Linked DNA regions of Diceros bicornis minor. The main gene of each other region encodes a partner of the protein of the gene in region 2 in a complex. Links are inferred from orthologs where the notes say so. Each region holds a gene or a part of one and is shown on either strand. Other genes may lie near its edges. The genes, in order: SMARCB1, ARID1A, SMARCE1 and SMARCA4.

Region 1 (7,320 bases), on a different chromosome or scaffold from region 2:
AGCCTGAGGGTTCGCTGGTTCGGATCCCTGGCGCACACCGACGCACCGCTCATCAAGCCATGCTCTAGCAGCATCCCATATAAAGCAGAGGAAGATGGGCACGGATGTTAGCCCAGGGCCGATCTTCCTCAGCAAAAAGAGGAGGATTGGCATAGGATATTAGCTCAGGGCTGGCCTTCCTCACACACACAAAAAAAATGATCATTTGAGTTTTACGGCAGGGACAGTCAGCCGACTGGGTGCCAGATGCTGGCTCCACCTGTGACTGGGAATTACTTTCCTTTTCTGGGTCTCCTTACTCATCTGCCAAATGCTCAGCAACTCTGAACTTTGGCCCAGGAAGAACCACTTCTATTATCTCCCCATTTACCTATCCAGCATAGTATATTTATTAAATAAAAATGTTTCTCCATTTTTCATGAATCAAAGATTTATATAACTGGCAACCAGAGCTGCTGAACAGAGCGACAAAAGGCAGCCACAGCCAGTCACTCGTGCTCCACACAATAGGCACAGTCTCCTCACGTTATTTGGCTTGAATGCCATTACCATCCGAGGGCAAATGTCCAGTTTCCATTAGGTTTTCACGAAGACGTTGACAATAATGCCCCCACCTCTACCCTGCAGGTACTACAGGGCTCCAGGACTCCTAGACCCTTCCCAAGAATCGTTCAGAATTTAGGGGAGCGGGGCTTGCCTTCCTGGGTTTTCCCTGAACCAGCCTTCGCCCTCTCTGGACTCAGGTTTCCCAAATGTAAAATGTAGGAGTGGACCTGGGCATTTCTTCAAGTCCTCTCAGCTCTGTGACTCTGGCTCGGGGAACACAGCTGCCTGCAGATGGCGGAGAACAGTGACACACATTCCCTGTGACTGCAGACGCCCTCCCAAGGCTGTTCCGAGGACTGGCATGGGGGCACTGGATGTGTTGCTCTCGCCGGCCCACCTCTCTGAATATGGTGCTTGTTTCCCAAGGGGAAGGGGCCTGGTGGCCATCCACTCAATGCTGTCACAGGAGCTGCTGGATATCAGTAGACAGTATCCTGATCTTGAACCCTTCCCAGACCTCCAAAGGTCTGACGATCGTCAAGCCAGGTCTGAGAGAGCAAACCACCGCCCCCCTCTCCCCCCTGGGTCTCTACAGACTGGGTCTCAGGTCAATTGTTCTCACTCAAGAGGGCTGAAAGAGAAGACCGTAGTTAGTTTTCTAGAAACTAAAATGTGTTATGGGGAAGATCTTAGAGACCATCTAGTCTAAACATCTCATTATACACATAAGAAAAGTGACTGGGAGGCCAAGCAGTGCTGGAACCAGGCCTCCCAACGTTCTCCCCATCTGGCCATGTGCTTCTTCTCTCAATTTGCTCCACCTAATAAATGAAGGCTTGCTTTTCAAAAGTACCACCCACTCAAAGGCCAAACTGACTGCTCTTCCTGCCCACTAGATCAGGTAAAGGTTTCTTTAAACAACCTGCCCACTATCACATACCGAAACTCCTATCCTGCATTTAGGCAGGTGCCGACCAGTAGGCCAATGAGGACCATGTGAGCTGTGGCAGATGGACAGGCACTGGCTCCATTTCCCCAGCACAGGTATGTCTGAAGAGCAGCACTTATGTGATAACTTGAAAATGTTACTGCATCCTGTCCTTTTTGTTTTATAAAAATTAGTGAAAAATGGAAACACTAAAGATGCTCCTGACAACAGTGGTCTCACAACTCGATACAACTAAGACAAGCCAGGAATCACAGGGTGTCCTGAAAGCCTACTGTGACCATCATGGGGCTTGCTTCACTCACATTATGTTCAACTGTGAAGAAAAAACCCAAAAACTGTAAAAACAGTAATGAAATGTTGGCGTCTGATACTGAAAACTGCTACAAGGAGAGACAGCCCTGGGCATCTTGTACCTACTTTAGCTCTCCAGGATCGGCACTTGCCTCGTTAACCTAGACAGACTCCACTGCTCAGTATCTGCACATCTGAACCGTATATCCAACATTTTTTTAAAAAAGGAATATACACTGTCTGAGGACTGCCTTTAGACCAGAAAGGGTTAGTTTGAGGCACTCTGGAAAAACTTAATATACATAGTACAAATTCCCACTGAAGGACCAGGTGTAGGGTGTTCCTAAAGTCAGTCATCCAGCTGATTCGACAAAGTGCTGTCACTTCTAGTCAAAGATAAAAGACCTTTAGGATCTTTCCCTCCTCATAATTCTGAGTAAGTTCAAGACATCCAAAGTGGCACTTGCTCCCGAATTGCTGATAGAGCTAGCTGGTAGCCTGGGGCCTTATCGAACCAAAAGCAAGCATCCTCCTCGCCACCCATTTCCTAACGGGTAAACAAAGGTCAAAACACCTCCTCAAAGTCCACCTCAAAGGCAACACAACGGGATGAGCCCTCACTGAGCCCACGCTTCCAGCCGGCTATTTCAGGATCCCATAGGTAGCAATGGAGTAGCGGCGCGTGTGAGATTCCCAACATGCCCCCCAGAAGCGCTCAGGGTCTAACCCGAGTGCTACCCACTCAGCGGGATCCGGTGCCCCTCGGGGAGCCCCAGCCCTGGTAGCGGGGCGCGTCCCCACCACCGCGAAATTGCTAACCTATCCCGGACCGCCAGGGCGGGGGGGCGGGGGCTCGCTGACCACGCCCTCCCGACCACGCCCCCAGCGCTTCGCGTCCACCTCCCCCCCCGCCCCCCCCCCCGCCGCGATGAATGGAAACGGGCGTTCCCGGCGCGCAGGCCTGCTCTGAGGCTCCCGCGACCCCGGGGCCGAGAAGGGCGAGGAGGTGCCGCGGGCTACCTCAGAGCCGATCATGTAGAACTCGCCGTCGTCCTCCAACTGGAACTTGACAGGCTTCTGCCCGAAGGTCTTGCTCAGCGCCATCATCATCATTGCGGTGGCGGAGGCAGGGGGCCGAGGCCGGGCAGCGAGACTGAGAGGGCACACCGAGGCAAAGAACAGGCCGGGGGCTCGCGCCGCAGCTGAGCTCCTCAGCGGCAGCCACAGACGACGACCAGACCGCCCTCAGTGCGCATGCGCGGCCTTTGACGCTGACGCGCGCGCCGCCGTCGCCCAAACAAAAGGCCGAGGCGCGCCCCCGCGGGCCCCTTAAAGGAGCCTCGATCCGTGTCTATTCCTCCCAGGCCGCCTCCCGAGTCGAGGTACCGAGGGAAACTTCTCGCGGGCAGAAATAGTAACCGAGGCCCTGACTCAGGCGGTGGCTTTCGCAGTCTCACAGCTGGGACTGGAACTCAGCCCAGTGGAAGAAGAATGAAATGAGGCCTGAAGGCGGGAGGAGGCCCGAGCTACCCATGTCTCAGTTTCCCCACCCGGGAATGCAGTGCTGCTGAGTAGATGAGAGGGCTCCTAGGAACAGATACTGCAGTTCCGGGCTCACAGCTGTTCCTGCTGCTGTGGGGATGGGCAGAATGACAACCCTGGGTGGGGCCTGGCAGGATTTCCAGGCCCAGGTGGTATTTGGTTTGGCTGGTGCACCAGATGAGTGTTGCAGAGGAGGGAACCTCCTCATTCCTTTCTTGACTGTGCTTTGTGCCTACAACAAGCCCAACTGTGCGGTGAAACTGGCCAGCCCTGCCCTGTGGCACCCAAAGCTCGGAGCGGGGACTGACGCTAATGAAAGCATCAGAGCATCCATGTATCCAGTGAACGATGCAGTAGGTCAGCAACGGCCCACTGCTAACAATTTCACATGGTTCAAGTCTAATAGAATTGCAGCTGTGATAGGTGCCACTATGAAGAAGATACACGTCGGGCTGGGTGGTGGGCAAGGAGACACTGGAGAGTTAGGAAGGGTTGGCCGTGGCAACCATGAGTTTTGTTCTGTGTCCCAAGAGCATTGGGAAACAGGAGTTTAGGATGGTGGCTGGGACGTGGCATGATCAGATAAAACGACCACCACTTAGTGGAGCATGATCAGAGGGGCAAGCGGGGAAACAGGGAACCAATTTCAAAGCCACTACAGGCATCTAGTGAGATGTGATGGAGGAATGGAGCGGGAGGAGCCCCAAGCATTGCACCCAGCCCCAAGGACCAGAGGCTTGCGGGTGGGATGGGCTGTGACCCTGGCTCCCAGGACAGAGGAGGTCCCAAGCCAGGCCTCCCACCTTCCTGGCCCAACCCCTTCTCCGTCCTGGCCTTGCAGTCACAGAGAGACCCCAGGCAAGCAGGTAGAAAATGACCATGTTTAATGACAGTCCTTAGTTTAAAAAAAAAAAAAAAAAGGCTTTGTACACACTACAGACATTTACATGGCTTTGGAGGGTCCCAGTGCTGGGATGAGGATTGAGGTATGTTGGGGCCTCCAGGGCCTGGGGTCTCTGGCAGGAAGCACCCCTCTTCCCCAGCCGACTGTGGACCTTTTGGCCTGGATCCTGGGGAGCAGATCTCCAGGATCACCAACCAGTGAGGGCTCCAGCTCCCCCAGCCCTGCTGAGGGACAGGGATGGAGACTGAGGGTGGCCGGTTTGACCGTGACCTGCACGAGGTAGGGCAGAGCCGACCTGAACCACCCTCACCCTTAATTAACACCAAAGCCTCTTTCCCAGTCTGAGACAGTCGCTGGCAGATGACCACGACCCGCGTGGCCTTCCCTGCAGTTGTCATGGTGGCAGCACCCCCTCCCCACCCCCCTGAGGAGACATGGGCTCCGTCCCATGCCTGGGGCCCACAGCCACAAAGATGGCCACAGGTTTCTAGCTGATGTCAGTGGCCTGGCAGGGGTCAGGAGCCCTGAGGGCATCCACGCTGGTTAGCGGAAAGTGTTGGCAGGTTCGGTACAGCCGAAGAAGTCGGGGCCCACAAGGCGGGGGAAGCCCTCCAGGGCCTTCACCTTCACTGGGTCAAACTTCCAGTAGAGGCGGCCACGCAGGAAGTAGGCATAGCCTGAGTAGAGAGGCGAGTCAGGCCTGGGCAAGTGGACACTGGGCCCCACGCCCGCCCCTCAGGCTGTGCCCAGGGATGGGCACAGGGGGCGGTCCGGGTGGGCAGGCCTTGGCCGCTGCTGAGTTTCTTGAAAACTGCAGGCCCCACGGTGGCCCTTCTAGAACCTCCCTTCCCTCGGAGGAACCCTTTCGCCTGCCCCCAGAGTCTGGTCTGAGCTACCACCCAGCCTAACAAATGCCAGGAGCCTCAGAGGCTCAACTCCTACCTCTCAGGAAAGCAAGTCTCTCTCGTCACTCCCCCCCTCCCCAAGTCACTCTACTCCCGCACCCACAGCCAAAACTACAGATGGGCATCTTGAGTCAAGGTGGATGATAAGGGCAACCTGGAGCCCCAGAGCCCAAGGCCACCACAGGACAGCGCTCCCAGTGGGTTCTGATGTGGGAAGGCACAGAAGCAAAGTGGGGGTGGGGGCACAGGAGAGGGTACTGGACTGCAAGTTCCCAATCTAGTCCTTCGAGACTGCAGGCTGGGTGATTCAGTGGTTAGTAGCAGGGACTGCCTAGGTGGGGGGCCTGGCTCCCCACCATCTACCTGGACGGCCCCGGTTAGGGACCTCATTGCCTGAACCTCTCTTTGTTCCTCTGGAAACTGGATTCATAACAGGTGCTACATCTGAGAATTGCATGAGACGTGTAAGGAGCTTGGTGCTGTGCCTGGAGCATCGTGGGTCCTCTGTGTGCAGCGGTTATTATTTGACCAGCTATGACCCAGGGCCCTGGCAAGTCCTAGTACCTCTCTGGCCCTCATCTCCTCATCTGCAGCACGGGGGTATAGCACTGCCCTGGCAGGAGGACAGGGGATAGGGAGGGCACTGGACAAAGGACCTGTGATGAGGAGCTGATGCCCAGCCACCACTTCCACCAGCCATGCCACCCTCAACACACCGTCAGCATCCTGGAAGGTGGCATCGATCTCAGAGGGCACCCCTCGCCAGTCGGTGACTCGGCGGGGCACAGGGCTGTCCACACGGCGCGTGCTGGGGTGGAAGCGCCAATAGTCTCCGCCGCAGAAGAAGTAGATCTTGTTCTTCTCGGGGCCCCAGACCAAGGCGGCGTGGACTGGGGACCCCAGCAGGCCCAGCTCAGAGAGGGGTGCAGGACCCAGGACTGGCTTCTCGCCGTCATACACCCAGTACCGAGCGCCTGCCAGAGGGGGGAGGCTGCAACGGAGCTGCCCAACTGCCATGCCCAGCCACCGCAGACCTGCCCAGCCGCCACCACCGCCACAGACTTTCCCAGCCTCAGTCCCTTGTCTGTCAAACACAAAGGCCAGGAATGCCTGCTCAGCACCCCACGCCAGAGGGCAGTTGGAGCCGCGGGGTAAGGTGAGTGGTGCAGACGCGGAGAGGTGCCCGCGGGAAAGGTTATTCTAAGCAGAGAGGCTGCCTGGCCTCCCACTTCTTCCCCTGGCATGTGGCTGCCCATGACAAGTGCCAGCTGACCACCCTGGCTGGGCCTTTGTTTATGAAATCCCTGCCACCTCGAATGCTCCAGGCTCTCGTCTCTGCCAGCTGCAAGTTAACGGAACAGGCTCTAGGCTCTCCAGACCTAGGTCACATCCCACTTCTGCCTTTTCCCAGCTGTGCCCTCAGGTGAGTCACTTCACCTCAGAGCCCCGGAGGCCTCATCTCTAGACCAGGGTTCATAATCCTGCCCACTCCACGGGGTGCCTTTGAGGGCTGACTGCACCAATACACAGGCCACGTGCAATACCTTCTACCCTATTCCCACCTCAAGAGCCGCCGCCTCCGCGAGCCCCCTAGCTGTGCCCAGAGGAGTGAGCCACACTCTCCCTTGGCCCCAAGGCTTCGGGGCACCCACCATCTGCCCATCACGTCTGTCTGTCTGTCCCTACCCTTGGCCATACCGTTCCTGGCTCCCGGAAGTCTCCTGAGCATGACCCCCAACTCCCACTCACCTTGGAAGAACCAAATGTGGCCCTGGGCATCCTCGAAGGCTGCGTCCACGGGGCTGGGCAGTCCCTGCCAGTGGCGAGAGGCCAGCGCAGGGTAGCCAGGCTGTAGCCGGCCCCCACGCAGCCGCCACACGAAGCCTGCCTTGAAGAAGAAGAGCTCGCCGCGGATGGTGGAGACTGCGTCAAAGGAGACCTCACAGGCATCTGGTGGGGCTTCCGGCTGGGGTGGGAGAGAAGGGCCAGGAAAGAGCCCACGTTGGAGCCACAGAGCCTAGCGGGCTGAGGGAGCTGGGACCAGGGCCTCACCTCCGGTCTTCCCACCCTCCTGGGCCTCACCTCCAGTGGAGCAATCTCATTGGTGTCCACCCCAGCCTGGGGGCCCAGGGCCGGGGGCCTGGAGGTGGGGGCTGGCCGAGGCCGGCCATATAGGTGCTGGA
Region 2 (6,934 bases):
CTTTTTTACCTCTTTGAAAAGTTACATGACTCCATAGACCACCCAATATTCCTGACCAAAGCACTGAAGACAGAAAACAATGAAGACGGAAGAAGAGCAAAACAACAGTAAGATAGAATGCATAAAAACATACCTAAAAGTTGTCATTTCTAAGCAAATCTTTAGTGTCATTGTAAAATGTACGTTTACTATCTTGGAAGATAGAAAAAAACGGAACATACTTTAAAATGCAGAGAGAAAAACTGGTCAACCTCTATTTCAAAGCTTTAAAACGACTGATGACAAAAAAGAAAATTGGCCTTTTTGATATTCCAGGAACAAAGGACAAATTTCACCAAACCAAGGCTTTAGGAGAAAGTCCCTCTCAAGATCATGAAAGATGTTAGCTTCCCTTTAAATTGAGCTGCTCTCCCAAAGTTCAGTTAACAAAAGAAAAGTGTTAACAAGATTCAACACCTAAAGAATGAGACCAGCCATCCTTAAAACACTTGAACCTAATAAGAAATCTCTCTCAGAAAACTTACAGTTCTCAAAAAAAAAAAAAAAAAATTCCCCTATCCCCTCTCATAAAGATCCTAGTTTGCCACTCAATAAACAGCCCAGTAAAATAATTTCAATTCTGCAAAGCCAACAGGGTCAAAATTACTCAAGACAAATGCATCTTCAGAGCTATCAAAGAAGTCATTTATACTATCAGGAAAGTCACAAAACCAAAACAAACAGCAAACCCATTGTAGAGAAAAACTCAGCTACTGTTCTGACAACACAGAATCTATTTCAGGCTGCATAAAACATAACAAGCAAAATAAATCCAAGGTACACGCAAAATGCCACTGCCTCCTCTTTTGTTTCGGGCACAATGTAACAAGGGCAGCCTGTCTAGGGCTCTGCTCCTGCTGATACAGTATTGCTGCTTAAACCTCCCTCCTCAAGGTCACAGCCAATTTCAGTTCTGGAATAAAAGGCAGATAGTGGCAGCGATGGTTTGGGTTATCACTGGCAGAAAAGCAGAGTGTAAAAGTTTATGAGCTCATCAGGATTGTTGTACCATTACATCAGAGGCAATTATAAATGGCCAAGAGCAGGAGATGGGGAGCCAATCAGATCACAGATAGGATGTCAACCTAAGACCAACTGTCTCCTGGCTTTGACAGAAGGATTTTACCTCCATAATTCAAATCCCAAACCAAAGCAATCTGCACTTACTACTCCAATCACTCAGCTGTTTACCAGCACTTCCAGGGAGAAGCCCAGGCCACTGGGCCGACGGAGACTAAGACAAGAGATGGCCCGGGCTGCCCCGGGTGAACCGCAGCCGGCCTCTAGCTGCCCCCAAGCAGGCCCCTGCCCTCCTTCGAGGTCCCCTCGAGCCCGAGGGGCCCCTCCTTGAAAGCACAGATGGGGGACGGCCTAGAGGAAGGCAGGGGGGGCAGAGAGGAACGGCAGGTGAGCAAAGAACTGTTCACTCAACTTCCGAGCTCCTACCACTGCCTACACCCCTAGCCTAAGCCCCCAGAACCCCCTCACCCCAGGCAGGACCCTTCCCCGCACACTCTGCCCCGCACCCCCTTGAAGATCCTCGGAGTTCGGAGGGACCAGGGGAGAGGGAGAAGGGGAGCAGACACCTCAGGGAAAGCCCCACACAAAGGCTGAAGGAGAGAAGGAGAGGAAGGCAGACAGGCAGCCATTTTAAGAGAGAAGAGCCAGACAATGGCAGCTCCCCAGTAATGGGGGCCCCGGACTAGGGGTAGCCCACGGCTGCGGCCTGCTCTCCGCAGCCGCCACCCACTCCCAGGACCCCGCTCGCCCCAGCCCCCTCCCCCACTCAGCTGTGTACCTGCGGGGTCCGGGCGAGCGGCTGGCCCCCGCCGCCGCTGCTCCCGGGGCTCATGGGCGCGTGGTGGCTCCTTTGTTGGGCCCCTCCCGAGGCGGCTGCCGCCGCCGCCGCCGCCGCAGCAGCAGCCCCCCAGCACTGCGAGGCCATGTCCGCCGGGCCTTTGCCGGCGCCCCCGTCCTGGGGCCCGCCGCCGTAGTCGCCCCCGGGGTAGCCCTGGTAGCCCCGGGCTGAGCTGGGCGACGTGAGCAGTTGGTTGAGGGTGGGGGTAGCCGTGGGCTGGGGGTTTCCCCCGCCGGCCGCGGAGGGGCCGCCTCCCCCCATGGCCCCGAAGCGCTGCTGAGCGAAGGACGACGACGACGAGGAGGCGGAGGCGCTGGAGGAGGGAGGCGGCTTGGAGCCGGCGGCCGCCGCCGCGCCGGAGCCCGGAGTGCCACCTCTCGGGGAGCTCAGCGCGTAGGCCTGGGGGGGCGGGGGGTAGGCGCTGCGGTTGGGGTAGTAGGAGTTGTACTGGTGGTTGGGGAAGCCGTGGTCGTGCGAGTTCTGCTGGGGCCCCGCGTAGGGCTCCAAGCCCCCGCCGCCGCCGCTCTGCAGCGCTGCCAGGCCAGGGCTTTGTTGTCCGCCATGTTGTTGGTGGAAGACGGCGGCCGCCGCGGCGGCGACGGCAGACGGGCTCCGGCCGTAGGGTTGCCCGAAGCCGTAGGCTGGGGGCGGCAAGGCGGCCGCGGCTGAGTGAGGAGGCGCCCCCACCCCATCACTGCTGCCGCCACCGCCGCCGCCGGGCGGCTCCGTGAGGTTATTGTTCAGGGCGGGCCTAGGGCCCGCGTTCCCGTTCGAGTTCTTCAGGTCCGGCTCCGCGCCGGGCCCGCCGCCGCCTCCGGCTCCGCCGCCGCCGCCACCCCCATTGCTCTCGGCCCCGTCCTGCAGCTCCTTTCCCAGCGGCTGCGGCGGCCCCACGGCGGGGCCCTCGCTTTCCTGCCCGGCGGCTGCCTTCATTTCCCCGCGCTCGGCCGCTGCCGCCGCCGCCTCGCCCCCTGCCTCCTCCCGCTGCTGCTGCTCCGCTTTCTTCAGCTCCGAGGGCGGCGGCGGCGGGTTGCCCAGGCTGCTGGCGGCGGCGGGGGCGACCTGCGCGGCCATGATCCCCGCTGTCTCGTCCGCGGAGAGACCCGGCCCTGTCTTCGTCTTCTCCCCCCCTCCCACCCCGCCCCGGGGCTGAGTCCCCCGGGCTGCCCTCCCCACCCGCCCGGGCGGGCCTCGCGGGGCTCCGCTGCTGCGCTGCGCTCGCTCGCTCCTCTCCCCCCCGCCCCGCCGGCTCAGGCTCCGGGCTGGCGGCGGCGGAGGAGGAGGAGGCGGCGGCGGCCGAGGCGCCGGCGGCTCAGCTGCTCCCGGCTCTGTAGGCTCGGGACCCGGCTCTCCCGGCTCATTCCCCCCAAGCCCTTGCCTGGGAATGAGGGGGGCGGTGGAGGCTCCGCTCCCCAGGGCCTGGCCCCGCTGTGACTCTCCGCTTTCTGCTGCCGGAGAAAGGAGGAGGGAGGGAGGGAGGGAGGCGAGGGGGAGGGGGCGGGGAGGGAGGGAGGGAGCGGGGGGAGGGGGACCCGGGACGGGCGGGCTGGAGGGCGCGCGGCAGCAGCCCGGGTGCCGGGAGGCAGAGTCGGAGCGCAGGCTGGACCGGACGCCCTGCCTCCCCTCCCCGGCCGCGGCGCCGGCCGAGGCTGCTGCGCGGCAGCGGGCGGGCGAGCGGGCGGGCGGCCGGACTGAGCGGCTAGAGCGCCCCACTCTCCTCCGAGTCCCCCTCACTCCGACACGAGGCTCAGCACTGCCATTTTACCCAGCGCCGTCGCGGCCGCCTGGCAAACCCGGAACGGAGTGCGGAGCGGGCGCAGGCCGTGGAACGGACTCGCTCCCTTCCCCTCACAAAGGAGGAGGGGAGAGAACGAGCCGCGGCGGCGGCAGGCCCTCTGCCGCTTTCGCTCGGCAGCGCCGCCGCCGAAGGCTTCGGGGAAAACCCGGCCCGGAGCTCGCGCGTCTCCGGAGCCTGCGCCGCCTCCCTCCTGGCGTTCCTATCCGGGTCGGTCCCCTCCAGGCCGCACTGAGAGGAGCGGGCGGCGTGAACTTTACTCGCGGCTGCAAAATTGGCCTGAGCCCGAGACCGCGGCCGCCTCGGCCCAGGCCTGACCCCCTGGCAGCGGGCCTGGTCTCTTGGCTGCTTCTTAGCACCTCTACAGCACTTTTCTTCTTCAAAGCCTTTTAGAAACCCGCTCTAAAGACCCAGCTGAGTGAGCAAAGTGGGGCCTTACGTTGTACCCCCTTGGCAAGCCGAATGGAATGACAGATCATTGTTCAGACTTTCCATTTTCCCACTCCCCTGCCCTCATTAGCCTGTCCTCACAAGGCCCTGGGGGCATGAGGTCTGAATATACCCATTTTACAGAATTAATAAACAGAGAGGAGAGGACTGCCCTGTCACTTAAAGTCAGAGGGCGGCTTTAAAAAGTAGCAGAATCCCCAAAGCTGCCCTTGTCCACTTAGCTTTAAAAAAAAAAAGTGGTCAATCCACTTTGTGGATTGTGCCATATCCAACAATGGGATAAGAGTATCAGAATGGGTTTGAGATCAAAGCTGGTCATCTCAACACTGACTTGAAATAGTTGCCACTGAAGCTACTTTGGGGGCATATGACAGCCTTCTAGCAGAAGAACCCAAGCTCCATCTTTGCCTCCTAAGAGAACTTAGCCCACAATGAACAATAGCCCCAGTCTCCAAAGATAGTACCTGTAAGACTATAAACAGACCACAGAAAAGGCTCCCAGGACTGGAGGAACCTGAGTGTTCAAAGGGACCACTGCAGAAGAGGGATGGCCAAACCGAGGTAAACCATTTTCTCTTTAAAGAGAGAAAAGGGGCAGTCTAACAGGTCACTTAGAAAATGGATGCAACCCAAATTTGTTTTCTGTCCTCCAGCTTAAAGATTCTTCAGAGTTTACCATTACACTCTAAGAGATGCTGATTGAGCTGGAGGCATACATAAGAAAACTCCAGATCTACAGGCCCCACCAAATCCCAGCAACAGCCTTTTCCTCCTCAGGCTGATTTGGAATGCTCTGACATGACAGGCTACAAAAGCCAGAGGGGATTCCAGCTCCTCATCAGGCCGAAGGCTGCCTTGGGAGAGGCCCAGGCCAGTGTAGTCACTAGACACCAGGGCCTCCTTTCCCCTTAGATTTTATAAAATGGAGACTTTATTGCCATAGAACCATTATCTTAGAACTTCCAGATTCTGCAGGCCCCTGGAGTTCTGGCCATCCCACTGGTCACAGTGAATAATTCCAAAAATCTGGACTCATTCCTACCCTCAAGAAAATTTAAGAGCATCTGACACTAAAAAGGCATAACCTTCCTGTTGATCTGAGTGTTTTTTTTTCCCCAAGCCAAAAACCAAACCGGCCTACCAGGGTCTGACTGACTGGAATGGGCCAGTGCCCTCGTTTCACTCACAGTCCTCAGAGGCAACAACTCTCCCAGTGCATTAGGTCCTAGAAACCAAATTATAGGCTGCCTCATAAATGGAGCTTGGCTATTTAATCAACTGCCTCTGAGCTGGCAAACAGTCTTGAGTCCTGCACACAAATGAGGAATTTTTTACATGCAATTACCCTGCCATTTTCCTCAGAGCTGGAGTGTAATGGGAAACCTGGAGCCCACTGAAAATCTGGAAGCCATAATGGATTTGTCTCCAGAGGAAGCCCTCATCTCCCTTCTTCACTGGCTGTGAAATTTGGATTTGCCCAAATCCCTTTCCTACACGTGGGCACCCTGTTTTGAAAACAGCCACCATTTTTCTCTAGCAATAAGGCAGAGTGCACAAAAATCTATCCACTTGGGTTGGAAGAGGTAATGTGGGATTTCTCCTTTCTCATTTTGTTTTTTTAATCTCAAATCCTTTAGGGTCCTCTTCCACCCCTACCTTTAGAGCCCCACACCACTATCCCGGGGACTGCCGAGTTGAAGGGAACTTTCTTAGAAACCGGCTCATCAGCTTTCCCTAGAGGCAGTGGCAGCGGGAAAGGGGGGAGGGGAGGAGCTGGGCACGTGGCTGGCCCGAGCTTCGAGTTTGGGGCTGTGGGTCCTCCCTTTGGTGGAGTTTTCTCCCCCAAGGCCCCTGCCTTTTTAACCCCACACCCAGGCAGCTAAGGAATCCCGGCGCAGATTGGAGAACTAGGACTAGGACAGCGCTACCCTCACGAAAGCGCCTCTGCCACCAACAGCCTGATGGCAAATATGGACTGAATCGTTGACATGGAAACCGGACTAAAGTCTCGCTCGCTCCCTCACTGGAGAGTTCTTATCACCGTCCCCGACCGCACGGCACTTGGCAAACGTGGACTGGATCTCCGGTCCGGAGCACCAGGCGGAGTTTGTGCGCGCAGCATTAACTCCCGCGGCGGCGGCCGCAGCCAAGGAGGGGGGCAGGGCTGCCAGGACAAACCGACTGAAAATGGCAGAGGATGTGCCTCATTTTATCCCGCTGCACAGTGTGCATGGATTGGGCCCGAAAATAAGGGAATAGCCTATTAAAATCCATGCAGTCAACTACAAAATGTGGAACCAAGGCCTAGAAGGTTTGCTAAGAGAGGGCAACGTTTGCAGGGAGGATAGCCCTTCCTCTCTCGCAGTTTGCTTTCCTTAGGTGTCCGAAATACAAAACTCAACAAACAAACAAAAGATCGGGCTGGGCTCCTCCGGGCTCCTTCCTTTCCCCACTCCCTTTAGTGGAAGACGTTTGAAGCCCAGGACCCAGTGAGGGTTTGCCTTGGTTCTGAACTAAGGCGCGGGGGATCGGAGGAGCGCCGAGTTGTGGCCCCCACACGCGTCCCCGCCGCGGCAAAGCAGCAGACACCCAGCAGAGCTCTCCCGAGTGCGAACCGGAGCTGCGAGTTTGAGCAAAAGGGCAACTATGTCAGTTGACGGAAGCCAGAAGCAGAGTTCAAAGCCTGGCGTGGATTTCCGTCTGGATTTCCGTCTTAAAGTTTGTAACTCCGTGTTCAGAAACAGCCCCAGCGGAGGCTTTGGGAGCAGTGTGAAAGTCTAGCACTACCATCT
Region 3 (7,969 bases), on a different chromosome or scaffold from region 2:
CATACAGGGACATAAAATTTTAGATTTTCTTTCAATTACTTGGGATTCCTTTTAGCCTGGCTTTTTCTATTTAGTGAAAGGGATGATTTTGTTCTGTCAAGGATCTAACAGCATGTTAAGTGCTTATTCTTGTGTGAGCATCTGACCTAAAATACATCCTATACATAAAAGTGTTTTCATTCGATATTAGTTAAATGCTACTAACTTTATTAAAGCTTTGAAAAATGCAATCATATAAGCTACTGTACTAAAGTTACTGTACTAAGCAACTGTAATCATAATAAAACAATATATCTAGTGTAATCTTTTTGCAGTCTTAAAAACTTACTACGGGGCATCATGAATGTAACTGCTTGTTAAGTAACTCCACTATGCAGCTATTGTGTGTATAACATGAACATTTTACAATACAGTTCTTGAATTTATAACAAAGTTTTATTTGCTTTGGGGCGTTTTAAATCGGGATATGAATTTACCAAAGTAAATGATACCACTACAATAAAAAAAAACTTCAAACATGAACTCTAAAGCTGCATTGTATTTGAGTTTGATACACTGTACTGAGTTTCAATGTTCCACTATGATTAGCTCACTTGGGGAATGAAGAAAACTGCAACCACAGTGGAGAGAGAATGGTTTTTATACTTTTTTTTTAGAAAAAAAAAATCAAGAATGGTATATTCTAGGGGCCGACCCGGTGGTGTAGTGGTTTTAAGTTCACACGCTCCACTTCGGCAGCCTGGGGTTTGCAAGTTCGGATCCTGGGCGCAGACCTACATGCTGCTCATCAAGCCACGCTGTGGCAGCGTCCCACATACAAGATAGAGGAAGACTGGCACAGACGTTAGCTCAGGGACAATCTTCCTCAAACAAAAAGAGGAAGATGGGCAACAGATGTTAGCTCAGGGTCAAACTTCCTCACACACACAAAACAAATAGAATGGTATATTCTAACAAATGGTAAATTCTAATTAAAAAATCAAAATAAAAACAATCCCATAATCCTGGGGAAAGTATAATAACAGTAGCCACCATTTGCAAAATGCTGACTCTGCTCCTAGCACTGTACTCAGCAACCTCGTACATAATCTTTAATCCTTACAACAATCCTACAAGATGCATAATATTATCCTTATTTTATGGATGAATAGAAAATATTCTTCAATCTCTCTGGAATAGTTCAACAAATGCATGCTTCCATAACAAAAAACAAAAATAAAGACTAATTCAAAGTACTAACAATTGTAGGATCCCAGCCTTGGAGCCGTCACTAATTACCCATGTAACCAGGAAGGAATCCCTTAAATTCCCTAGGCCTCAATTTTCACACTTGAATACAAGGGGAAAGGTGGTGGTTGGTAATAGTCCCCACCCTTCCCACCTCACAGAGTTGTTTGAAATACATACATGTGAATATATTTGGCAAAGTACTACTCAAATATACAGTACTATTTGGATAAAAATCATCACTGGGAGAGAAGAATTTGTGAGGACAATTATAGCTGACAATGATTAAGTAATAGCTCAAAACACAAGGGGGGAAGAGAATTTTTTTAACCCTTCAGTTACCGCCAGAAGAATTATTCTTTCCCAGTGAGTTACCCAATTTGAACTATTCTACCACAGTAGTTTTTTAAAGTACAAAAATGTTCTCTAACGTCAAAAAATGCTTAAATTAATTTGAAAGTTTCAAATGGAAATGCATTATGAGACATGGATCAATATTAAACTTTAGTGAAATAATATGCATACACACATTACTCAAATTATCTAAACATGAAATCAAAGGAAAGTTTGTGCACAGGGCAGAATTTGGTTCTATGTTTACAAATTATGGCCAGCATGTACACACAGATTGCCAATATTTATGAACAGAATACAAATAAACATTGTGAAATAAGGTATATGTGCAAATCACTACAAGCTTTTTCCAGTTCCTCTCACACACTTAAAACCCTACACCCAGGTTGTCAAACTTTTTCTGTGAAAACCCACATAGCAAATATTTTAGGCTTTTCAGGCCACATGATCCCTGCAGCAACTACATATACTATTCTGCCCTTGTGGCTGAAAGCAGCTAATACATAAATAATACATAAATAAATGGCCATGGCTGTGTTCTAATAAAACTACAAAAACAGGAGGCAGCCCAGATCTGGCCTGCAGCTTTAGTTTGCTGACACATGCCCTAGATCCTCAAATAAGATCTGTGGATGACAGATCATACCCCAAATTCTCCAGGACCATCCTGTTTTCAAACACTTTCATCCTTTTCCACGTGTCCCAAATCCTCAAGGTATTTAGAAGGTAACACAGAGGTTGTAAAAGCAAACCATACTTTGTCAAATTCTACAAAACATTGTGAATCCACTCTGCCCTGGAAATCTGCTGGGCTTCGATATTTCACAACCATTTCTAGCAATAGAACTGAATACCCATAACTTCTGCTTTCACAGAAACAGCTGAGAAAATCAGCCTATTCCACCATTTTGCCTACAACCAGACTTTTAGAGGCTATTCAGCTCAGCCAGAGTTCTGTCCTGTCTTTCCCTATTTTAAGGGAAAAAAATTCATTTCAGAAAGCTTCTTTAGAACACACTACAGAAAACTGCATGGCTCAGTGGTTGGTTCAAAATCTTTCTTGAGTCAAGACCTCTTCGAAAATCTGTTAAAGTACTAACCCTCTATCTGGGGGGGGGGGGGGGGGGAAGCACATAAAAATTGTGTACAATTTTAAAGGGTTCATAGACCTCCTAGAGCCAATTCATGGACTACTAGGTGTCCAAGGACTGTGGGTTTTTCCTTGTTGTCTCCCATTTTCTCCTTTTTCTCCTTCCCTCACAGGGATGGTTCTCTTTCCACCCCTAATTCCATCTCACTCCCCAGCTTCTTCCCACAGTACTATGGAAAGAAATCAAAGAGACCTGGGCTTGAATCCTAGCTTAATCACTTACTAGTTTTGGCTTCCCTGTTTTGGAGGAAGGAGAACCTCAAGGAAGTATGAGTACTGTCAGAGAGGAAAGCAGGTCAACTTCCTGGATCTCGCTGCCAGGAAGGAAACTAAACTCCCTGGGTCTAAGACTATCTCTGCAGTTCACAGCAAGGCCCCTGTGAGGGCTCCCAACAACCTTGAGAGTTACATATCATTTAAATAGTCATATTAAGGAGGCATCCCATATTTTCCAGGAATAAGCACTGTTCCAAAAGTCTGTCCTGTGGTTCCCATCAACATCCCTGTACATGCAAGATCATATGTTCTGACGTTTGCTTGGGGAAAAAACAAACTAATAACTCAGACATTTCACTCTGCAGTCTTAATTTCTTCAGGACTAGGGAAGAGGTTTTTTTCCGTATTATATTTTGCCTCTTTTCTTCCTTTCTTAATTTTGCAAATCTTTGGGAGTGAAGAACCAAAGGGAGGAAAATGAGATGGCCATTCATTTACTCATTCCACAAATATTGAGCACCTGAATGTACCACGCACTGTTTCAGAGGTCAAAAATCCCCACCCTCAAAGAGCTTTCATTCTGATGGAAAGAAAAAGACAACAAAACAAATACATAATAAATATACTACATTGGGTGGTAAGTGCTACAGAAAAAACAAAGCACAGACCACGAATCGAGTGGAGGTTGGAGAATGAGTTGCAATTTTAAATAGGTCAGCAACGACCTACCGAGGTGACATTTGAGTAAAGACCAGGAGGTGAGAAAGTGCATCAATGTCACTGCTTCACTCAGATCTCCTCCTTTCCTTTTTCACCATTTTTGTGCCACGCCTTTCTCACTACAGTGAGCTTTGTTCCTAACATCCAGCACCTGCGGCTTTTCTTCAAGAGGACTGCCTAGAGATGACACAAGGGAGCATCTGCCCCTGCACCTCACGTGCCCAATGCTCCACCATAACCTCAAAGGCAAGGAAGAAACCAGGCTGTAGGTGCTGGACAAGGCAGGAGAAAGAAGGTCCTGGGATCCCTGCTGAGGCCTTCGTGTATCTTACATTAATCCTTTCCGTCTCTGATGCTTTTATATTAAAAAAAGCACTTTCATGTACATTATCTCAAGCACCACTCAAGCTGCCTGTTATCCTTGGATGACCTCTCTTTTAGTCTTTCCCTTCACTATGCTCTTCAATTTCACTAATCTCTATTCATGAGTATACAACGAATGGGGTAGAGACTACTATCAAGTTATCAAAGAACCGTGCGAGTTCAGGGGAAGGATTGGGGGGCGAGCGGGGATGGAGTGAGTTTAAGCTGAAAGTGGGGGACAGTCGTTCCCGGGGAGGGAACCGAATGAGCCCAGGCCGCGCTGGGCGGAGACCAGTGTCGCCAGGGCCCACCACCCGGGCCAAGGGGATTGACACCTCTGGGCCTTGGCTCAGAAGCCTGTGGCAAGGACCCCACACTCGCGGTTGCAAAACCTGAAAAAGTGCGTGTCGCTTTTCGCCAAGGATAATGCCGGCCGGTTCCGGCAGGACGTCCTGCAAGGCGCTGGTGGAGGCGAAAAACCCGCCAGCCGGGTCCTCCACGACTCCATGCCCGGCTTTCTCAGGGCGAAAGAGGAAAGAAAGGGACCAGGGGGGAAACAAACAAAACCCGCGGGGCGGGCGCGGAGCGTGGCCGAGTGGCGCGGGCCGCGAGGCCGCAGTGGTTCCGGGGCCTCAGGTCGGGGCGACCCCGCCGTCTTCCGGGCCCGCGCGCGGCTCCCACGGCCCCTCGGCGCGTCCCCCGCCGGCGCTTCAGCCCCTCACGGCCGCCGCACCCGGGCCCATCCCGCGGTCGGGCCTCTCCGCCCTCGCCGCCGTGACGAATCGGCGCCGCCCGGGAAGGTACCGCATTCGGGAGGTTTGAGGAACGTATGGGGCCTGAAAAAAATCCTTGGCCGTAGGAAGCCTCACCGCGTCCTCAATAGAAAGTTTATTTTTCTAAAGAGAGTCGGGGGGACCCGGAGAGACATTCAGCCGAGTGTTGAAAGTGCGAGTGCGGAAGCTCCGCCGCGAGGGGCGGGGCCTGCGAGGGACAAAGGGAAGCGAGGCTGGAGCTGCGGGCGCGTTTTCTGCCCGCGGGTGAGTGTTTCCAACCGGGCTTGGCCGGGTCGGGGGGTGGGGGGGACGGGTGGCAAGTCGCGGTGTCCCGGCTCGGCTGGACCCCGAGCTCCCGGGGTTTGCTGGGGTTCAGGCTTGGCCGCGGGGCCAGAGCTGGGGGCCGCTTGCGGCCTCCTTGAGGCCTAGCGGAGCGAGGGTTGGGAGGGAGTCCCATCTGGGGCCCCTCCTTGGCGGCAAGATTTGCCCCTTCCACTAACGCCGCGGAACTGGTCAGAGCACCTGTGCATACCCCCCTTTGGTGGAGTTGCTGGTGAAGTGTAGCCTCCACGACAAACCTAATGGAAAGGATCTCAGAGGAAGCGCCTGGGACTAGCCAAGCCCGTGGTCCTCACCCCCAGGAAGGTGGTTTCCCCTTGGTTCAGGCAGAGACCCGAGGGCTCGCGGTGTGGCTTCGAGGGAAGAGCGAAAGCTCTGCAACCATTTGGCCTGGGTTTAAAACCCAGCTCTGGCACTTCCTGGCAGTGTGTCTTTAGACAAGTTACTTAAACTCGCCGAGACTCTCTTGTTTCATCCGTAAATAGGAGTGGCAGTACATATCTCCGTGGTAGTTGTGACTGTCAGACGAGGTAGTGTAGGTAATAAGCCTGTCCCGTGTAAGGGACTCAACAAATGCTTATCTAGTATTTTATGCCAGGCGCCGAGGATGGATCCACTGGTGGGTAAATGTACAAGCCCACCCTTAAGAATTTATAGTACAGCGAAGGAGAGCAATTATTTTAAAGCGTTAAACAATGAAGTGTGACGTATTAAGGATCTTGTGGCGGACATTGTCAGGGCTTCCCCACAGCAAGGCCAACGGGGTGTTGACAGCTCCCTGAATGTGCAGATTTCCACTAGAATCAATGGTTTCTGCCCGTTCCTTAAGGAAAGAGGGCCCAGGTTGGGCCACTGAGAAAATAAACTGTTTCTTTCCACAGCAGGCCTCTTATTCCTTATGCTCCAGGGAAGTCTCTTAAAATGCAACATAGAGGCAAAAAAATTCTGTTTGTTTCACATAATGTTGGATGAAAGTGCCAGTAGTCATAGAAGTTATTTGCCTTTTTTCTAAAAATGAATGTCTCTTTGTACGCACTGTGTGTGATGTATATTGATGTAAGCTCATGTGGGTACGGTCATGTTATGAACTGGTAAATACTAGGACAAAATTTATGAAGAATTGAGCTAGGTCCTGGGACTACAGTAATCAATTAAATTGTTGCTGTTCCCAGGCAGCGTACGATCTAGCCATATGAACAGGTATAATACGATATAGTAAACAATATCATAGACCTATGTAAATTGAGTAGGTGTACAGATGAGGAAGCAATTAATTTTGCCCAGGTAGTTTATCAAGAAAGCTCCATTGAGTAGATATATTTTGAAATGGACTATGAAGGCTTTGTAAGAGTTTTTCAGGTAGACTCTCAAAATTTATTCCCAGCAGTTACAAAGCTGTTTACCTCTATAAGAGAATGTAAAGGGCATTATCATACCAATTACCTTTTGCACTACCTCCAGGAATCAAATACTGCTCCATTTAATAGGAGTTGTTATTCTAAAAGGAAGGTAGAGCTGCTGCTGAGTGGGGGCTGTCGGTATCTGGTAGGCCTTGTTGGAGTGGGCCCTGATAATACGTCATTCTGTTGTCATTAAATTTTTATCAGTCTGGTTAAATGTTTACATGGCATCCATAAAATGTTTTCCGTACAAGAGGTGGCTCAGTATCATAAGAAAAACTTGAAAGTACGTGTCTAATATTACTTTTAATATCCCCAGTAATTTTAGTCATTTAATTCTGTTGAACCAAATGACCTAAAGAATTACTAAAATATGCAAATACTTGATTACTAGAAGACAATGTAAAGTAATTTTACTAAGAAATACCACTTATAAACTACCCTATTCTTTAGGAAAACATTCTCTTATGCTTGCTGAGTTTTGATTCTCATTTTTTTTCTTTTTTTTTCTTTTTTTTATTTTAGTGTCTCAGATTCATTCTTAAGGAACTGAGAACTTAATCTTCCAAAATGTCAAGTAAGTTTCATTTTTTATATTTATCAACCTATATTAATAAGAAACTAATGCCCTAGCAAATGGGAATTCCAAAATACTCTCATTTTTTTTCTTCAAAACAGGACCATTGGTAGTTTTGTTGCATAGTATTATATCTCAGTTGTTTACAAGAAGTTATTTATTTTCTTTCAAACAGAAAGACCATCTTATGCCCCACCTCCCACCCCAGCTCCTGCAACAGTAAGTTTTAATTTTCTTGTTAATGTAATAGCCAAGTCTGGCCTTGATACAAAAACCCAGATGTCTTCCAGTGACAGTCACTCAGTCATCACAGCAACAGGATGAAAAACTCAGCTAAAAAACAGCACTTCCTACTAAATAAAATAACTCTGCATCTTACCTTGACCAACCCCAACATTTAAAGAAACATACTGCTGAAATGCCAACCTCCTGCTCAGTTCTTTTTTTAATGGGAAATAAGGGAGAAGTTAACACTTCTTTCTTATTGATCTCCGTTAAGAGTCTTTCAGGTTGATATTGAATGAATACTCATTCTGGCATTTATTATTATTTTTAAACCTAACCTTCAACTGGTTACATTTTTCTCTCCTTGTCTATATATAATTTTCGTGTTAAACAATAAAGCTTCCAGTTCTAGAATAACACTCATTGTAAATCTTTATTTTCAAGCTGTTCAAGTAAGGATTTCATTATCTGTGGGTCAGATCCTGCTATTGAATTTTATTCCACTCCATAAATAATATTCTATTGGTTTGGGAATTGATATGTTTCAAAGCATCTAAATAATAGTTGTCAACTAGTTTTTTACCCAGCAAGCTCTGGCCCAGCTTGGTCAGCATGTAAAATACTT
Region 4 (7,433 bases), on a different chromosome or scaffold from region 2:
TTTGCAAATAAGGAGATGGATATGAGCAAATGAGAACAGGGCCCTTGTCTGCCCAGTCCTGGCCGAATCCTCAGCCCCCAGCAGTGCCGGGCTCATGGCGGGCACTCGATGCATGCTTGTTCCCTATATGAATGGGGAATGCGCGGTTGAGCGCTTTCTTGCACACCTCCTGGGGGCGCCGTTCACGTTGTGTGCTATGGTTGAGGTGAATGGGTCCCATTGTGCAGGGCAGCCCTGATGACTGAGGCCAAAATTGGCCGGCACATCTGAGGACTTACTATGTGCCAGGCACTGTCACCCCCATTTCTCTGAGGCACCACGAGGGAAAGTGGCCAAACCAGGGGTCAAACCTGGACGGTGGACTGGAGAGCCCCTGGTGAAGGAATATTCCTGGACCTCAGTTTCTTCACCGGCGGAATGTCGTTCTCACCAGACATTCACCAGAAACACCTAGTTCCTCCCACTCTCCCACAGCCAATAAACAGCTAAGACACAGAGCTGGTCTAGGGTTCCCTCTCAGTATTTTGAGCATCCATAAGGAGTGGCAAAGATACATAAATAAAGGTGCATACATGTTGGGGTGCTTTTCACTGACAGAAAAAGTGTGGCAACCACGTCACTGTCCCACACCACAGCTCTGATGCTGTCACCCCGGCTCAAAAGCCTAAAAGATCAATGCCTCCTGAAGGGTTGCACACAAAGTGATTTTAGGGGGCACATGGAGGAACATTTATTATTTTCATAATTATGTATGCATTTTTTTTTTTTTTGGTGAGGAAGATTGGCCCTGAGCTAACATCTGTGCCCATCTTCCTCTATTTTGTATGTGGGATGCTGCCACAGCATGGCTTGATGAGCGGTGTGTAGGTTCACACCTGGGATCTGAACCAGTGAACCCCGGGCCGCTGAGGCAGAGCACACAAACAACCACTATGCCACCAGGCCAGCCATGTGTATGCACTGATTTTAACAAAAATTAGAAATATACATACATATATACATATAATGAGCAATATTAACTCCAACAAACTGAGTGCTCACTATATGTCAGGCGCTGCAGTGTGTTAAGCCACTTTCCAGATTATCTCATTCAACCCTCACAATAGTTTGAGGGGGGTCACACCTGTTTCACCAATGGCGGGACCTACTGGTAAGTGTCTTGCTGGAGGTCAAGCCAGGATTTAGAGCTGGGTGTAAACCTGAGGTGTGATTCTAGAACTAGGACCCCCACCGCCACTCCTACTAACCACCGCCCCACTCCCCATTCCCGGGGGAAGGAGGTTTGGCAAACAATGGCCTGGAAAGTTAAAAACCCACAACAGCAACTAACGTTCATTGCTTACAACCCACTGCCCCAGTCCTGCATGGAGCTCTTCACACCCATGTTCACTCAGTGCTCCCAAGGACCCTCCTCGCTCATGGCACCAACGTTCGCTAAGGGCCTTCCATGTGCCGGGCCCAGGGTACACTGCGGGAGGCCAGGGAGACCTGACCCCTGCTCTGATGGCCCTCAGAGAGGAATGGCTGTGTAATTACAAACTGGGGGAACTTCCACATGGGAAAGGACAGGGCGACGTGTGAGTGCAGCAGAGGGGAACAATGAGTGGTCCAGGGTGGTCCACATACAAGCTGGAACATCTTCCCTGGTTCTGGGCAAAGGTCCCCTCTTCCAGGCAGCCTCCCTGATCTCTGGTTCCACTACTTCCCTGGGCGTCCACTGTGTCCCTCTCACAGCGAGGATTGTGAGGATTAGATGATAGGCCAAGGGGACTTGTTCCCACATCTATCGCCTGTTCCCCTACAAGACTGGAAAGGCTCCACAGGGCTCCAACCCCCAACCATCTGACACCCAGTAGGGACTCAACAAATAATTGCTGAGCAACGGACGGAGATTGACCAGACAGTAACAACGGTGCTTCCCACTTGCCAGGAACCATTTTACAGGCCTTCACCAACTCCACTGGTGGCATTATCCCCATTTCAGGAAACCAAGAGGTTCAGAGAGATTAAGCTATTTGCCTAAAGTCACACAGCCAAGTGATGGAAGCAAACTCGAATCCGGTATCAATTCAAACTGAAAACTTGTCTCCAATTCCAAGGAAGCGGATCTTCCAACTATTCCCTACTTTCCCCAGGGAGTCACCGGGGAGAAAAATCAAGACTGGTGTCTTGAAGACCGGCACAAAACACTCTCCCGAGAGATCCACGTTTTAAATTACAGTCTTAATCTGGAAAATCATTTGGGAGGAAGGGAAAAGGATGCAAACTAAAAACAATGCTTTCAACAGCAAACAGTTCCCCCGGCCCTCCCCCACTTGCTGCCGACCCCCCACTTCAGAGCAGACATTCTGAAGTCACTTCTTGCAAGGGATTGGGGGAGTTACTTCTCTTTTCTTGAAAATCTACAATATGTGGCTTTTGTAGAATAAAATTTCAGGGCAGCTCATGCTCGTGTCCAGTTGATGCTGGACACGTCTGGCGTTTCCCTACTGAACCCCGATCGCGGCCTCGCCAAAAAGGCAACGTTCGGGTCCGACCCGTTACAACGTAGCCAGAAAAGCCCCGATGCCGGGCTATTGTTGCAGCCGCGGCGGAGACGGCGACTGGGGGCTGGGCCCTGGCCGGCGAGTCGAGGGGGCCGCGAGCTTTGTCCGGCGCCCCCGGCGAGAGCGCGCACGGGGGGCGCGCGGCCTCCACGCGGCCCGGGCCCCCACCCCCCGGCCCGCGGATACTGCAGCCGCCGCGGCCTCGCTGCACTGTGGCCTGCCCCGCGCGCGCGGTGCCGGCCAGGCTTCTTGACCCTCGGGCGCCGCCGTACCCCGGCCCCGCTCTGGGCGCCGGCGGCCCCCTCCCCCCTCGGCGCCCCGGCTCCATTCAAACCGCCCTCCCAGCCCCGCGCCGCGCTCCCCCCGCGGCCCGCCTTCCTTACCGGGAGCTGCCGGCGCCGTCGCCTTCCCGGCGCCGCCCCCGCCCCTCCGCGCGGGGCCAGGGGCAGAGTGGGCGTCTCGCGTCTCCTCACGAAACAAAGAAGCCGCCGCCGCCGAGCGAGGGTAAGCCTCGCGCGCGCGCCCGCCTCGGCCGCCCCCCCACGCCGCCCGCGCCCCCGCTGCGCGCGCACTCGCCGGCTCCCCTCCCCCCCCACAGACTGCCTCTCCCGCTTCCGCCGCCCGCCCGGCCTCGTGCGCGCGCCCGCCAGCCCTTCCGCTCCCAGCGCGCGTGCGCGTCTGCTCGGCGCTGGGGGGAGGTGGGCGGGGCCCGAGAGAGCCAGCGCGCCCGACGCGCCTCCCGACTCTGTCCCGGATGCTCCTGCGCCTGCGCACCGGGTGTTCCGCCTTCGCACGCCGGGCGTCCCCACGCCGCGGAGCATGCGCAGAGCGGGCGGCACTGCGGCGGTGGTGTGGCGGCGGTGGTGTGGCGGCGGCGGTGGCGGTGGGAGGTTGGGGGATGGGGCTGGGTGGCAGCGGGGTCTGCAGTGAAGGGATGGCCGAGGGGCCCTGAGGCTCGGAAGTGAGGACTGGAAGCTGGGCGCGAGGGCAGGCGGCGGGCAGGCTGGGCCGGGGAGGAGCACGGGCGGCCCAGGGCGGGCCGGGGAGCCGCTTTCACCCTTGGTGGGGGATGTTGAGGCCTATTCGGCGGGACCAGGCGGGGCCCGACCGCGGCCGCCTTTTCTGCACAGCCTCCGGGATGCCATTAATTAGCTTAGCAAATATTTATGGACCTGCTGCTGTGGCCCAGGCGCAGGTGCTGCGGCCGCAATCAGAAAAACCTCAGCCGCTGCGGCGCTCACGATCCGGTGGGGGAGGCAGGCCAGAGAAAGAAGGAAAATGCGTTGTGTTGAGAGGGGGACGTGAGGGTTGTGGGAGGTTTAAATGGGGCAGCCAGGGGAGCCTCGCTGCGACGAAGACGTTTGAGTCTAGACAGGAAAGCAGTGCGAGAGAGAGCCTTGTTGCAAGTGTGAAGGCCCTGAGCCTCCAAACCTCTTCTCTGTGATTTGAAAGTGTCCGCAGCGTCATCTTTAGCCCCGCAGCCGGACAGCCGCGCCCCCTGGGACTGTCGCTACCCCTGCTGCTCGCGGGCCTGCCCTTCCTCATTTTTCAGGTCCCAGCTGACTCACTGCGTCCTGTTTGATCACTGCCTCCTTTTTCCCCTTCCTTCACATTTCTTGGGTACCCTCTTGAGTGACTGTCTTTCTCCCTTCAATGTCAATGGCAAAGCTGTTGTCAGTTTTAATCACTAGGGAATACCAGCATCTAGCGTAGTGCCCCCATTCACCACATACTAGATACTTGAAATTTTTTTATTGAAGGAATGATAGAGACCGATTGTCTGCTGAGTGCGTCCTGTACCTGCATCAGCTCGTTGACTCTTTCCAAGTCCAAGGTGAGTCACTTGCAGTATAGAGCAGAAGGTGAGACCTCATGCAGGCGTCCAAGACCTGGATTTAAAACTTGACTCCATTGTTGGTAGCTGGGGGCTGCCAGGCAAGTTTATTGGACTCGTCTACGCGTCCCTTTCTTCACCTGTGAAATGGAAACAGTAATGGCACCCTCCTCCACTGGCTGGTTACGAGGAATCCGTGAAAGCAGGCCGCCTGGGAGTTCTCTGAACCTGAGCTCCTAGTGTTGAGTAATGCGCAGCAGATGGGCACATGGGATCTGAACCTCTGTCTCTCTCATTCGCTCAAGTAATATTTCTTAAGCGTCCTCGATGTGCTGCGCACTGAGCTGGTCATGGGCCCGCAGTGATGCACTGAGTAGGCTGGGTTCCTGCCTGTGGAGCAGGCAGTCCATGAGTTCAGTTGACTGTCTCCCATGTTGATCGCACTAATACACGGTAGGAAAATGTAAGTGCAGTGGAAGAAAAGCCCAGGGCGCAGTGAGATCATAACATGAGACCTTCCTGGGACTGAGGAGTCAGCTAGACCTCACTGAGGAAGAGGCATTTATGCTGAGACCCAAAGGACCTCTCCTTTGGGAGAGGGCGCTGGGTAGAGGGAACAGGGTGCGCCAAGATCCTGAAGAGGAAAAGAGCCTAGGAACAGAAAAAGGGCTGGGTGGCTCTGAGGGGGGTCAGCAGCAGCCCCGCCGGGCAGGGCCCTGTGGGCTGTGGTGAGGATCTGGAGCTTTTCCTGGAGCGCGGTAGGAAGCAGATGAAGGGCTGTAATCAGGAGAATCCCATGGCGGCTCTGGCTGCAGGGTGGAGACCGGGCTGGCGGGGAAGGAGAGAAAGTGGGGAGCCCCTTTGGGCCATCGCAGAGGCCCAGGGTGGAGGGGGTGACGTGCACTAGAGTGGAGGCAATGAAGGAAGGTGGAGGTCAAATGGATAGAAATCGAAGGAGTGGACCTGAAAGGAGAGGGAGGGTCGTGAGTGAACGCCAGTTTTCTCTGCAGCTGGAACAGTGGGGACGTGGAAACTGGAAGGAAGGATCCGGAGTCCTGTTTTAAGGACAAGATGTCTGATGGGGGGGCTGGCCCCGTGGCTTAGCAGTTAAGTGCGTGCACTCCGCTGCTGGCGGCCCGGGTTCGGATCCCGGCTGCGCACCGACGCATCGCTTCTCCGGCCATGCTGAGGCCACGTCCCACATACAGCAACTAGAAGGATGTGCAACTATGACATACAACTATCTCCTGGGGCTTTGGGGGGAAAAAAATAAATAAATAAAAATTATTAAAAAAAAAAAAAGTCTGATGGGAATAATCCTGTAGACCAGTGGTCTGTGGCTATATGTTGAAATCCCAGTTTAAGCAAAATCGATGCTTTTAGCACTTACGTTTATGTTTGTGATACATTTTGAGTTAATTTTTGTGTATGGGGTGAGGAAAGATTGAAGTTCAGTGTTTTCCACAGGGATATTCAGTTGTTCCAGCACCAGTTGTTCCAGACTGTCTGCTTCCCCGTTGAGTTACCCCGGCACTTTTGTCAAAAACCAGTTGACTAGTTAAGTGTGAGTCTGTTTCTGGACTCTATTCTGTTCCTTGCTCGATATGTCTACCCTTATGCTGGGAACACACTGTCTTCATTGCTGGAGCTTTATAATAAGTCTTGAAATCAAGTAGTCTGCCAACTTTCTTCTTTTTTTTTTTAGTTGTTTAGGCTGCTCTGGTTCCTTTGCATCTTTGTAAATTTTAGAATCAGCTTGTCAATTTCTGTCAAAAACCGTGATGAGATTTTGATTGGGATTGCATTGAATCTGTAGACCAATCTGGGGGCCATCTTAACAAAATTAAGTCTTCCAATCCATGAACATGGTGTCTCTCTGTTTATTTAGGTCTCCTCTAATTTCCATTAAACTTGCTCTTTTCGGGCCTTTCCTAGCCACTGAAATGACTCGCATCAACGTCGTGGGGACCTCCCTGTCGCTGAATCCGAGGGTCAGTTCCCCTCTTCACCTTCCTTGACCTGTTGGCGACGGCTGACACGTCCGCTCTTTAGAGCAGGTCCCCTCACTTGCCTTCCAGGGCACCGCGCACTCCTGGGCTTCTTCCCCCCCTTCATCAGCCCCTTCCCAGGCTCCTTTGCGGCTTTCTCCACTTGACACTGACCCCTCAGTAATGAACCTGGGGCTCAGGCCTGGGGCCCCTATCTGCAGTCATCTCTGTGGCTTCCAGTCTGGTGACCTTAAAAAATCATCTGCATCCTAGGTCTCTACCCAAAAGGATTGGAAACAGGTACTTGAACAAATACTTGTAAACAAACGTTCGTTGTTGCTGCACTGTTTGTAATAGCCAAAGGTTGAAACCGTCCAAATGTCCACCAACAGATGGCTGGGTAAACTAACTGGGGTCTATACAGTCTGTGGAATATTCAGCCGTGACGGAGTGAAGTCCTAATCCATGCTACAGTGTGCATGAACCTCAAAAACATGCTAAGCAAATGAAGTCAGACACAAAAGGCCACATGTTGTGTGAGTCAAGTGTCCAGAACAGGCAAATCCATAGAGAGGGAAAGCAGGTTGCCAGGAGCTCAGGGTGGCAGAAGGTTACTGCTTAATGGGTACAGGGTTGATGATGAAAATAGTTTGGAACTAGAGGTGGTGCTTACACAACATGGTGAACATACTGAATATCACTGAATTGTTCATTTTAAAATATTTAATTTTATGTTATAGGAATCTCACCTTAACTTTTTAGAAAATCTATATGATTTCTAAATATTTATCTCCTGTCTGAACCTTACCCTTGAGCTCCTGAAAACTGCCTCTCAGACACCACCACTTGGGTATTTAATAGGAGTTAAAATTTCAGTTCAGTAAGTGCCTCTTTTGCTCAAAACCCTCCAATGGCTCCCATCTTGCCAAGAATAAAAGGCAGAGACCATCAAGAGGTCTGGCCCCATGGCCTGGTGCTTAAATTCAGCATGCTCCGCTTTGGTGGCCTGGGTTCGGTTCCTGGTCGTGGACCTACACCACTCATCAGCGGCCATGATGTGGCGGC

The links.
Region 1: ARID1A (region 2) and SMARCB1 share a complex: the UniProt entries of both Homo sapiens proteins name them as parts of the neuron-specific chromatin remodeling complex. The link is inferred for Diceros bicornis minor from reciprocal best matches to the Homo sapiens genes ARID1A and SMARCB1.
Region 3: ARID1A (region 2) and SMARCE1 share a complex: the UniProt entries of both Homo sapiens proteins name them as parts of the neuron-specific chromatin remodeling complex. The link is inferred for Diceros bicornis minor from reciprocal best matches to the Homo sapiens genes ARID1A and SMARCE1.
Region 4: ARID1A (region 2) and SMARCA4 share a complex: the UniProt entries of both Homo sapiens proteins name them as parts of the neuron-specific chromatin remodeling complex. The link is inferred for Diceros bicornis minor from reciprocal best matches to the Homo sapiens genes ARID1A and SMARCA4.

Annotation. Positions count from the first base shown.
Region 1 is NC_080774.1:29,771,597-29,778,916, forward strand, and holds the start of SMARCB1 (SWI/SNF-related matrix-associated actin-dependent regulator of chromatin subfamily B member 1), read right to left. Parts: upstream 3,020-7,320; 5' UTR 2,900-3,019; coding exon 2,807-2,899; intron 1-2,806. Other genes in the region: MMP11 (stromelysin-3), read right to left, coding at 4,776-4,909, 5,854-6,111, 6,887-7,103, 7,220-7,320.
Region 2 is NC_080752.1:42,499,002-42,505,935, reverse strand, and holds the start of ARID1A (AT-rich interactive domain-containing protein 1A), read right to left. Parts: upstream 3,002-6,934; 5' UTR 2,972-3,001; coding exon 1,838-2,971; intron 1-1,837. UniProt on the Homo sapiens protein: Involved in transcriptional activation and repression of select genes by chromatin remodeling (alteration of DNA-nucleosome topology).
Region 3 is NC_080757.1:40,093,453-40,101,421, reverse strand, and holds the start of SMARCE1 (SWI/SNF-related matrix-associated actin-dependent regulator of chromatin subfamily E member 1), read left to right. Parts: upstream 1-4,963; 5' UTR 4,964-5,067; intron 5,068-7,067; 5' UTR 7,068-7,112; coding exon 7,113-7,119; intron 7,120-7,294; coding exon 7,295-7,338; intron 7,339-7,969. UniProt on the Homo sapiens protein: Involved in transcriptional activation and repression of select genes by chromatin remodeling (alteration of DNA-nucleosome topology).
Region 4 is NC_080769.1:8,398,861-8,406,293, forward strand, and holds the start of SMARCA4 (transcription activator BRG1), read right to left. Parts: upstream 3,014-7,433; 5' UTR 2,930-3,013; intron 1-2,929. UniProt on the Homo sapiens protein: ATPase involved in transcriptional activation and repression of select genes by chromatin remodeling (alteration of DNA-nucleosome topology).